Linked DNA regions of Ovis aries. The protein of the gene in region 2 interacts with the protein of the main gene of each other region in a biochemical or structural test. Links are inferred from orthologs where the notes say so. Each region holds a gene or a part of one and is shown on either strand. Other genes may lie near its edges.

Region 1 (3,651 bases), on a different chromosome or scaffold from region 2:
AAGGTCAGCAGGAAGACGGGAGATGGGGGTTGGGTGGAACAAGACACTGGGCCTTCCAGACACCACCTAGCACTGGTTTCCCTGCCCTCTAATCTTCCCCAGCGTGCTTCTTCCAGGCCCCCATTGACCCTGTCAGGCCCTCTGCACACACGCCGTGGACTGCAGTGGGGATAGAGAAGGAAGGAACCCATCCAGCAGTCAGCCCTCGCCTCCTCCCTGGGCCAGGCACCTGACACCCTTGTCCCAAGGGCAGCACTGCCCTCCCTGCAGGAGCTCTGGGACAGATGTGTGCCTCCGAGAGACTGGCAAGGGAGCCAGTTCCCAGGCTGCAGCTGGCACTCTGGGTGGGGGGCATGTTTGCTACCCTTCTTGGCCCCTCCTCAGCACCCCCTTGCTCCCACAGTCTATGTGACGCTGACCTGCGCCTTCCGCTACGGCCGGGAGGACCTGGATGTCCTGGGCTTGACCTTTCGCAAGGACCTGTTTGTGGCCAACGTGCAGTCTTTCCCGCCGGCCCCGGAGGACAAGAAGCCCCTGACCCGGCTGCAGGAGCGCCTCATCAAGAAGCTGGGCGAGCATGCCTACCCTTTCACCTTTGAGGTCAGGGACTGCCAGCCCCTGGGGCCCCATTCCAGAAGCATCACCTCTAGCAAGCCCTCTGGGCAGGCACACGGGGGCAGCTGGGGCAGCAGCTCCAGGCCATGCAGTCTCCCCAGTGTACCCTGGGGCCAGGGCACTGGCACTTATGCTGCCTGGTAAGTGTCTCTTCTCTGGCCGCTGCCAGAGGTGTCACCCTTACCTCTGCACTGCTACCCAGACCCTCCCAAGTCCAGGTCATCAGTGGGAGAAGGAGGGGTCGAGGGGGATGCTGCAGAGAAAGAAGTCCTTTCTGGCCCCCGGGTCACTGCAAGGCTGTCTCCTCCTTCATACTGGCTGCCCACTAACCCTGCTTCAACCCAACTCCCAAACAAGAACGGCAAGTACTGGATTTCCCTGCGCAGCCGCCTTTCCACTCCAGGATTCTGGATTTTCAGACCTCCTGTTTCTCAGACTCTGATTCTGTGATTCAGTGAAATCCCCTGACTGTGCAAGTCAGAGGAGAGAGGATAAGGAGCCATCCTCTCTGTTATAGACATATGATGGCTGCTGTAATGAACCCTTGCAAACCTAGCAGTAATTAAACCTGCCAATTAGAATACAAATGTGTTATTTTACAGTTCTGAAGGTCGGAAGTCAAAAACAGCTTTCATGGGCTAAAATCAAGTGTCAGCAGGGCTGCATTCTCTCTGGAGCTCTGGGATAGAAACTGCTTCCTTGCCTTTTCCTGCTGCTAGAAACTGCTCACATTCTTTGGCCCCTGACCCAGCCCTTTTCCATCTTCAAAGCCAGCAATGGCCGGTCCAGTCTTTCTCGAATCCCATCACTGTGATGCTGCTTTCGCTGCTAAAACACTGTGATTATGGTGGGCCCACCTGGCTAATCCAGGGTAATCTCCCCATCTCAGGATGCTTCACCAAATTACACTGTAAGACCCTTTTGCCCTTTTAGGTAACATTATCACAGGTTTTGGAGATTAGAATGTGAACATCTTCAGGGGGCCATTATTCTACCTACAACAGTGCACATCGTAGAAAGACCTTTTCAGCTCTTGTTCTGGGGGGGCTGCGATGCACTGAAATCCTTGGCTTTATTGCAGGGGCCTCTAGTGTAACATGAGGCATAGCTTAGCATGTTCTGATGGGGTAAACATGGTCTGTCCTGTGAATTGCCTAGTCTGATGGAAGGGACGTGGTCAGTCCTTAGGGGCCCAGGTCTGATGAATGTGTGTGGGGGTGGGAGGCATGGGGAGGTCAGCGGTGAATGTGACAGGTGTCTCTGTCCTCTTAACAGATCCCTCCGAACCTCCCATGCTCTGTGACGTTGCAGCCGGGACCTGAAGATACAGGGAAGGTGGGTCATCCCCGAGGGAGCATCTCTCTGGGTTCAGGACACTGTGTCCCCAGGTCCCCAGCTCTCTCTCTGTCTGGAGGGTGCTGGAATGCTCCCTATAGAAGCCTCCTTGTGTGTAAGCTAGGCTGATCCCACCTCAGATAAGCAGTCTTTTCAGACAGGGCGGCACATAATGGCATCACCCTCATCCCCTACACTCAGTTATGTGCCCAGGGCCTCTCCCAAGTCACTCTCGCTGGCCTCGGTGTTGGCTGCAGAATGTTCTCTGGCAAACCGTCCGGCCTCACAAACCCTGTGTGGAGGTGCAGTCATCACTGTCTCACAGGTGGGGAAACTGAGGCTCGGACATAGGTGACCCCACGAGTGTTCCAGGCCTCGGAGCTCGGAGCCTGTTTCCTCATCTGTGAAATGGATGTGGTGGGATGTACCTCATCATCTGGTCCAAAGGGTAGGGCAAGATGCTGAAGGGGTGCCCAGGGCAGGGTCTATATGGTTGGGGGTGGGGGTGGTCCTATATAGGGCTGCTGAAAGCTTGTTGTTATTTCTGGGCAACTGCCTTATTGAGGACAGTGCCCCCCAGACAGCCAGGACTCTGGAGCCCAGCTGGTCAGGGAGCTGCTCTGTGGGAGGGTCAGATGAGGGAGGCAGCTCCGCACAGGCTGAGTGCAGGGCTCCTACTCAGACGAGGGCATCAGGCCTGGGGACCTGATATTCGCATCCAGCGGCCTTCTTAAATGAGAGGGTGGGTAGGCCATGCTCAGTGGAGCCGGCCCTCTCCACTGAGGTCAGCGACCCTCCCCTGCAGGCCTGCGGTGTGGACTACGAAGTGAAAGCCTTCTGTGCGGAGAACCTGGAGGAGAAGATCCACAAGCGGTGAGGAGGGTGCAGCTTCTATCCGTGTGGGTGCGGGCTGCCTGCTGGCAGAGGGAGGGAGACAGGACAGGCACGGTTCAGTTGGAGGAAGACAGAAGTAACAATGCCTGGAAGTGGGAGAGGAGGGGCCTTGCATTCCAGCCTTGGAAACTCCAAGGGCACTGGGGAAGGCTGGCAGGTGGGGAGGGCTTCCTGGGGGAGGTGGCTCCATTACCCTGACTCAGGCCTCAGCACTTTTTCCTTTGCATCACTGTACCCGCTTCCCTTATCGCCCTGCTTCTAATCTCTTCCTCTCCAGACTGCATGTCCTTTAATTTTGTTTTGGAAAAAAATCTGAAATTCAGATTGTTTTAAACAGTGAGCAAGATGTTTCCCGGCCAGCTTGGACCCCCATTTCCCAGTTCTCCTGGGAGGTCATCAGCAGGAGGTTGTGGGGGTGGGGTAAGGGGTGTCAATGGAAGGGAAGGGAAGGGAAGTGGAGAAAGTGAACCCACCCAGGGCAGACAGAGGAGGTCTGCCATGTCTCAAAGAGGGAAGCATTTTCCTGGAGAGACACAGCCCTGGGCAGACAGACAGACCAGGCTAGCAGCCAGAAATAGCTGGCCCTGATTTATAGGGTGAGCTGCCCAACCCTGCTCTCATACCTGCCCCTCTCGGGGTCGGGTTTTTGCTTTGCCTCCTGGCAAGGCTGACCAGGGTCCCCAACTCTGCGTCCTGCTGCAGGCTTCCAGAGGACGCAGCATCCTCGTAGGGAGTGGGCTGAGTTTGCCACCTGGTGGTCATATGATGCATTGCACCTCTCCAACTCCAGTTGGACAACTTACAGCG
Region 2 (4,221 bases):
CCATTCGATCCTTACAACCCGATTATCACTCCTGTTTCATACAGATGAGGAAACTGAGAGACCGAGAAGGAAGTTATCTGTCTAATCCCTAATGTCCTGCATTTTTCTGGTTAACAGTGCTTTGATATTATAAGCAATATTGCCATAAATAACTTTGTTCATGTTGTTAAAGCAAGTCTTTAGGGTAAATTTCAAAAAGTTGTTGGGTCCAGAGGTATTCACAGTTTAAAACCTTGTGTTACACACTTTCAAATATTTCTACTGGGAGAGTAATTATTTCATTTAACAATGAGTGTACGATTCCCCACATCCCTGGTTCTTTTTCATCTTTGTCTGACAAAAACGTATCTAAACGCTACTTTAATCTGCATTTCTCACTTTTAAAAACGGGACCTCAAGATGGATTTTTTTCTAAGCACTCTTCGTCTATCACAACACTCATCTTGTTGACATGTTCTAAATATTTACATCCTGCAGTCAGCAGTTATGGTAAATTTTGGTAAATTTACATGCAAGATGCTCCAAGTTCCTCTTAAGTGGGATGCACAAATCTAGAAGATGCTCCTTAGAATTTCTACAGGATACAGAGAACAGTTTTTGTTATTGTTAAGAAAACTTATAAATAAAATTACTAAGTAGTTTAAGTTATTACTAACCACCGATCAAACTTTAGATCCATTTTTCAGCCCTTTTTTTTTTTTTTGCTCGGCTTTTTTGGGGGGAGGTTGTCTATCGCAGACCTTTTTGGTCAACTGCCAATCACTGTTAACAGCCTGCGGATCACACAGCTAGTAGCTGCCAACGCCCAGCCAGAAGAGGTTTCGACAGAGCTTCCAGGCAGGCCTTCGGGGACTCGCTGGAAGGTGCCAGCGCCGCCCCAGCCTCCGCGAGGAGCCGCGCGCCTGACACTCCCCTCTTCGGGATTCGGGCCAAGCCGCCCGCTCACATGACTTTACCAGAGGAAGCTTCCTGTCACCGCGGGCAGCGACCTGAACTCATAACCCCTTTTACTTAGATGAGGAAAGGAGTTTCCATCCTCCGCCCTAGGGACCACAAACTTGTGACCACCATCGGAGCACGGGGGAAAGAGGGTTTCTCTCTACCCAGACGCGACCCCGTTTCTTTCTGCTCAACCTCTGATTCACGCTTGAGCTCGTTAGTCGTCTTCGGCGCGCCTGGAGGACCCAGTCCTCCGGAGGCTTAGGACCAAGGCCAAGTCCGGAAAGGCAGGCATCCCTGCCACTGTTCCGTGGGGCCAGTCAAAGGGGGTCCGGGCGGAGGGGGCTCTGGGGTTGGGCCGGTTTCTGCGGGGCAAGTTCGGGGCAGGTTCTGGACAGGCGAAGCCCAGGGCACCCAGATTCCCGACAGGCTCCGCGTCCGGGGCCTTCGCGGCTCCTCCGCTCTTGCCGCCGCCGCCGCCGCTGCCGCGGTTGCTGCGGGTCGGGGAGAGCTGGGGTTGTCGCGGGCCCGGAGAGTCCGTCTCGGCCACTGTTTTTGCCCGAGGAGACTTCCTTCCTAGGTCGCACCCTGACTCCTGTGGTGTCGAGGGGGAGTCCCTGCGGACACCTCTGCACGCAGTGGAGATGCCTCTGTTTGCCACCAATCCCTTCGATCAGGATGTCGGTAAGTGCTTCTGCCGCCCCCTGTCCACCCCCTGGCGGACCGCGAGCCCGCTCGGCCCGCTCCCGGCGGACCGTCTGGACCCCCGGGCTGGGCGGAACCCTGCTTGTTTCCTGAGGCTCTTTCTGTAAGGGTTTGGAGGAGGTTGGGGGCTTGTCGCATCTTCTTGAAGACAAAAAAAGGGGGGAGACTGAGAGAGTCTGGGAAATAGGCCTGGAGCTAGGGCTGTGGGTTCCTAAAGAACTGGAAAGGTGGGTGTCGAAGGCCGCGGAGGAACAGCTGGTGTGGCATCTGGTGCTGGGACATTGCTCCTGGGAGGACAGAATCGAGAGCTAGGGAGTCCCAGCTGGCGTAGGATGATAAGCTGTGTGATAAAGGGTTTCTCAGGCACATGTCAAACGTTGGGAACTGGGATAATGTTTTAGGTTAGCTTCCTTAGAGGACTTTAAAATCTGTTTTATAACTGTGCGAGGGAGAGGAAGGAGAGAGCTTTGGTTAAGGGTAGACTCTTAAAGATACTGGGAGAGAGATGAAGATGGAATACTTGACAACAATATAAACACGCTTGAGGACCTGAGTCGCTGGGATGCCTTCCTAGTGTAGGTCTCAGTACTTTTAAGTGTAGAATAGGACCTGGGATCTGAAAATGCTAATTTGTTCTGAATTTGAAATACTCTTTTTTTGTGATTGTTTTGTGAATCACAGGTTTTAAGTACTGATCATATCAATTCAACAGGTTAGCTGTGTGTGTGTGTGTTTTCCTGGGCTGAGGGTAATAATGACAGGAGTTTGAGTTTTCCCTGAGAGAATTTTGGGGTGATTTGAATACACTTAGTAACTACCTTGGCGCACAGGTGTGAAATGAAAGCAGGTTAAATACCATGTCTAATTGTTATAGTCAAGAAAAATAAGGATGATCTTATGGAATTGCTATTTCTGTGTTTACATAGTTAATTATGAAAGGTTTGAATTTGCTTTTTAATTCCCAATTTATAGCCTGCCACTGAAGCTTGAGGGTTTAGGTTAAGATTAGAAAAGGTTTCAGTCCTGTCCCTGCCACTCCCTAGCTCAGAGGGAAATCATGGGCAGGTTACTTAAGTTCTTTGAGTCTTGGTGTCCTCATCTTTAAAGAGAGGGAAAATACATCCTGTTTGTGGTTCAGTGAAATAACATGTATCTCCTGCAGTGCCTTTAGATAGTAGGCATCAACTCAATGATAACTTTTTTGGGACATTTTAAATGAATGTCCTGCATCTTAGCAGTGGATGGAGCTTTAGAGGTCACTAGGAGTATTTAATAAATAAATAATTGGGAAGTAACATTTAACTTAATGAGTACTTAGCACACACTGTTTATAGGACACTGCTCAGTGACGTAAGATAGTGATGAATAAGAGACGTGGTCGCTGCTCTCGAGCAGTTTTATAACTTACTACATTAATTTCCAGGGCAAATGGTTAAAGCAGTTTCTTAATACCTGCTCCTTCTGTTTCCATCACCTTGATCTAGTTTTCATGGTTGTATGTAACCGAGCTTCCACCTACCCAGTCATCTTTATATCCCATTGCCCTTTGAACCCGCATTTCCATTGGATTCTTAATGTCAAATCCTTTCCCAGTACCTGCACCACCCCATTCAGACACAGGCTCCATCTTGCTTTTACACTTTTGCTTGTATTGTTTCTTCTACCTTTCTGCACCTCCTAATGATTAAAGGCCAACTCAGCATCCAGCTCATACCTGAATCATATCCTGATTACCCTAACCTGGAGTTTCCATAGGTGACACTACAAATGGTTTGGACCAGGTAAATGTCTTTGTCATGGGTATCTGTCCTTTTCAATGTAGGGTGTTTAGTAGCATCCCTGACCTCTCCCCACCCAACCCACAGCTATGATTTAAAACATCTCCAGACACAGCTAAATGTCCCCTGAGGGCACAAAATAGTTTCCAGTAGAGAAACATTGTTCTATCCCACTGTTGCCACTCTTTTCAGACCTCCTGCAATACTTTTTGTCTTTACTAAATTATTTCGTATTAAAGGTAGTCGTATCTTGCGTTATGCTCCTTAACTCTTACTTGTTGCTACAGAGGAGATGCATAATTAAAGTTTGTTGAATTGAGAATGTATCAGTTGAACTTGCTAGGGTAAGCTTCTTGAGTACAGGAGCATTGTTTTGTTCCAGAAAAGCTTACTTTTTTGCTTGCTTGTTTGTTTTTGGTTGCTCTGGCTGGTGACTGGCAGAGTCTTAATTCTCTGTCAAACCTGTGCCTTTGGCAGTGGAAGCAGAATTCTAACCACTGGACCACCAGGGAAGTCCCAGAAAATTATACCTTTGAAAAGCTAGGTTTTAATGTTTGCATCAATTCTTTCCCCATGATCCATGTATCAAAATATCATGAAAGGTTATCTAAGAAGACTTGCCAGAGACTCCCAGTAAATCATCCTTGGACAGAGTCCAGTAGACTCCCATTTAAAATACTTTTGCTAGAATAGCATGCAGAATATAGTATGTATAATACATATAACTATTTCTTCTCACTTTATCCATCAGTGAGCATATCAGTGATATACTCTCACTAACTCACTTGATATATTTATC
Region 3 (3,148 bases), on a different chromosome or scaffold from region 2:
TTTGAAAATATTAATTGATCTGATAATTTAGCCAAGAAGCTATAAGTCACTCAGACTAATTGCAGAACATGAAAAGTCGTCCATTTCACAATTCAAACCGATTTTCTTTCATCCTCTTCTTGGGAATCCACTAATGGTGACATCTTTCAGGAGCACCTTTATAATCTTGTTTTTATATGGAGTGTTTATATTGACTTTACCTGTAACAACCGAGTCCCTGAGGTAAATGATAAATTCTATGCTCCTCTATCCCTTTTAATACATTAATTTGTAAAGATGTGGTGTATAATGCAGTTCACTTTGCTGTCATCTTTTTACCTTAATCCTAAGAATTCTACTACTCGTGATAGAATAAGTCTGCCTGGGTGTTAAGGTTTTATATCCTACTTTGACTTTCAACTCTTGAGAGAATCATAAGTGCTATATGCAGTTCATGGTCAAGGTGAAGGAAGAGTGGAATCAAGTAATGCAACAGAATAAGTGTACTAAATTTTAAGTCACTGTATTGGGATAAACTGTGTGGAAAAATTATAATTCTGCTGTCCTGTTCAACAGTGTAAAATTAAAGACAGAACACTTACAGGGTTTTAAATTATTTTTCTCATTAAGATTTTAATGTAGGTGTAAATGAAAATTCTCATTTAAAAAATTAAAGAAAAGTTTCCATTTATTTTTTTAGAATAAAGATTTAGTGCACAAATACAGCCCAAAGCCAACAGAAAAATAGCTTTGCCCTGTCATGTCCCTAAGAAAGCACTGCAGTTACTCAGAATAGGCCAAAAGGGGACGGGGGGGAGCAATCCTCTGAGTTCTAGGCTTCACAAAAGGACCACATATTATACTATGTACATTGATTTGATGTGCAAGTGTGCAATAAATATATACACATACATTCCTATCTGCTTTACATCATTCTAGAGTATTCATTAGATCAAGCTGGGATTTAGAAATGTGAAAAGGCCATAACAGTGAATAGGAAAATAAAGGATACAATGATTTTTAGACCAGCAGAATAATAATGCTTAGCTAGTTAATTATTTTAACTTTGGAGCAAACTAAAAAACTTGTTTTGAAATAAATGGTACCTGTAAGGAATGCTTACTGCAATACTTGTTAAATGTTCTTGGTCAGTTTTTTGATAATGGCGCTGACCAGAAGTATATGATATAGTAACACAGCTCTCATTGTCCTACAAGTCCTTTAAATGGTCAGCTATGCCTATCCAGAATCTTTATAAGCAATTCAAGAGTTGTGTTGCTCAGCCTGTTAAAAGATAACTAGCTTAAAACCTACTTCTCCTTATGTGGCTACATCAGTTATTCGTGGTCCCAGTGACGTATAAAAGAGGATATAAGCTGCTGAAGATTTCACCGAAGAAATGGAAATATCAGAAACCTCATGATCGTCAAATTTAAACCACCGCTGTCTTGCTGCATTTTTACAATAGGCAGTGTAGTGGCCACCATCCAGCCCACCGTAGTGATTCTGTACCAAACAAGATAGAAAATCAATTCAAATTGAATTATTTAAAATATGTCAATAATTTCAAAGCCTTAATGTAGTTCCTACTTTCCTGTGAGGTAAGGAACAACCTGAAACTTGTTTTTTTAGTTTGCTTCGAAAGAAAAAGTATTTAGGTCAATGAGATACTTACTGAAACAGAAAACAAGTTGTATTTCTTCAGATTGTTCTTTGGGCCAATAACATACTGCGACAAGTCAAGATTTTCTAATGGAAAGTCCACAGATGTCTGTAATTTTTGTTTCCACCTGCCATCATAGGAAAAACTGCAGAGCAAAACATTACAGCAGTTACACTGACAGACCAAAGACATCAAAATGCACCCTAGTTCATTCATCAACAATCCAGAGTTTTAGACAGTTTTTATGTTTAGACATAAAAGCTATTTCAAACACACACTCAGAATTTTAATAGTGGAGGGACTCGTCTAATGAAACTGAGGTGCATAAATGTCTTGCCCCAGGTAAACAGAGTGGTAGAGGTAGAGCCATACCTTGGTCCCTTAATCCCTAGACCAGCTAGAGCTATTAGGTGAGTCTTTGACAAAGGTAAGAAGTTATTAACACCCCCGTTTATAATGCTAATCACCACAAAGTACAGAGAAATAACAGAAGAAGAGTGGCTCCAGATTAAAGCTTGTCCTTTGAGATCCAACCAGTCCGTCCTAGATGAGATCAGTTCTGGGTGTTCACTGGATGGGCAGATGTTGAAGCTGAAACTCTAATACTTTGGCCACCTGATGCAAAGAGCTGACTCATTTGAAAAGACCCTGATGCTGGCAAAGATTGAGGGCAGGAGGAGAAGGGGACGACAGAGGATGAGATAGTTGGATGGCATCACCAACTCAATGGACATGAGTTTGGGTAAATTCCAGGAGTTGGTGATGGACAGGGAGCCCTGGCATGCTGCGGTTCATGGAGTTGCAAAGAGTTGGACACGACTGAGCAACTGAACTGAACTTGAAGAAAGTAGAGCCAGAAACTGCATGCACACAGCCTAGTGACTAAAATAATGGCATTCCATTATCCTAACACACACTGCTTCTTTAAACACCAAAATACTGGTTGGTGTAATATGGTTATTTCAAAATTATTTGTTAAAGAGTGAACTCTGAACCATTTATACTTTAAGATATTCTCCAAGAATAATACACAGCACTAATAATCTTAACAGAACAAATGTGTAATCATTTGTAGAATGTGTATACCTTTGCAATCTGCAATAAGCAGAAAAGGACAACTGATCTAATAAGCTTTTGTAGAAAATCTACACAAGAGATTTGAATATATCAGTGTTGAAATTAACATAAATAACTGCCTAAGAATCTCCAATAATTTGAAAATAATTTTGTTTCACTGATTTATAAAAACTTTTTATTTTATATTGGAGTATCATTGATTAACAGTGTTGTGTTAGTTTCAGGTGTACAGCAAAGTGATTCAGTTATACTTCTATCTATTCTTTTTCAAATTCTTCTCCCATTTAGATTATCATAGAATGCTGAACAGCGGTCCCTGTGCTATACAGTAGGTTGGTTATCTGTTTTAAATACAGCAGTGTTTGTCAATCTCAAACTCCCAATCTATCCCTCCTGCCCCAGTTTCAATGATTTTAAAAGACAGAGTTA

What was found.
Region 1: the proteins of STAM (region 2) and ARRB1 form a complex in vitro, tested with the Homo sapiens proteins (2 studies listed by BioGRID). The link is inferred for Ovis aries from reciprocal best matches to the Homo sapiens genes STAM and ARRB1.
Region 3: the proteins of STAM (region 2) and USP8 form a complex in vitro, tested with the Homo sapiens proteins (2 studies listed by BioGRID). The link is inferred for Ovis aries from reciprocal best matches to the Homo sapiens genes STAM and USP8.

The regions. Positions count from the first base shown.
Region 1 is NC_056068.1:53,219,038-53,222,688, reverse strand, and holds part of ARRB1 (beta-arrestin-1), read left to right. Parts: intron 1-403; coding exon 404-600; intron 601-1,890; coding exon 1,891-1,950; intron 1,951-2,755; coding exon 2,756-2,823; intron 2,824-3,651. UniProt on the Homo sapiens protein: Functions in regulating agonist-mediated G-protein coupled receptor (GPCR) signaling by mediating both receptor desensitization and resensitization processes.
Region 2 is NC_056066.1:31,499,091-31,503,311, forward strand, and holds the start of STAM (signal transducing adapter molecule 1), read left to right. Parts: upstream 1-1,420; 5' UTR 1,421-1,583; coding exon 1,584-1,623; intron 1,624-4,221. UniProt on the Homo sapiens protein: Involved in intracellular signal transduction mediated by cytokines and growth factors. Upon IL-2 and GM-CSL stimulation, it plays a role in signaling leading to DNA synthesis and MYC induction. May also play a role in T-cell development.
Region 3 is NC_056060.1:57,956,573-57,959,720, forward strand, and holds the end of USP8 (ubiquitin carboxyl-terminal hydrolase 8), read right to left. Parts: intron 1,788-3,148; coding exon 1,655-1,787; intron 1,486-1,654; coding exon 1,300-1,485; 3' UTR 596-1,299; downstream 1-595. UniProt on the Homo sapiens protein: Hydrolase that can remove conjugated ubiquitin from proteins and therefore plays an important regulatory role at the level of protein turnover by preventing degradation. Converts both 'Lys-48' an 'Lys-63'-linked ubiquitin chains.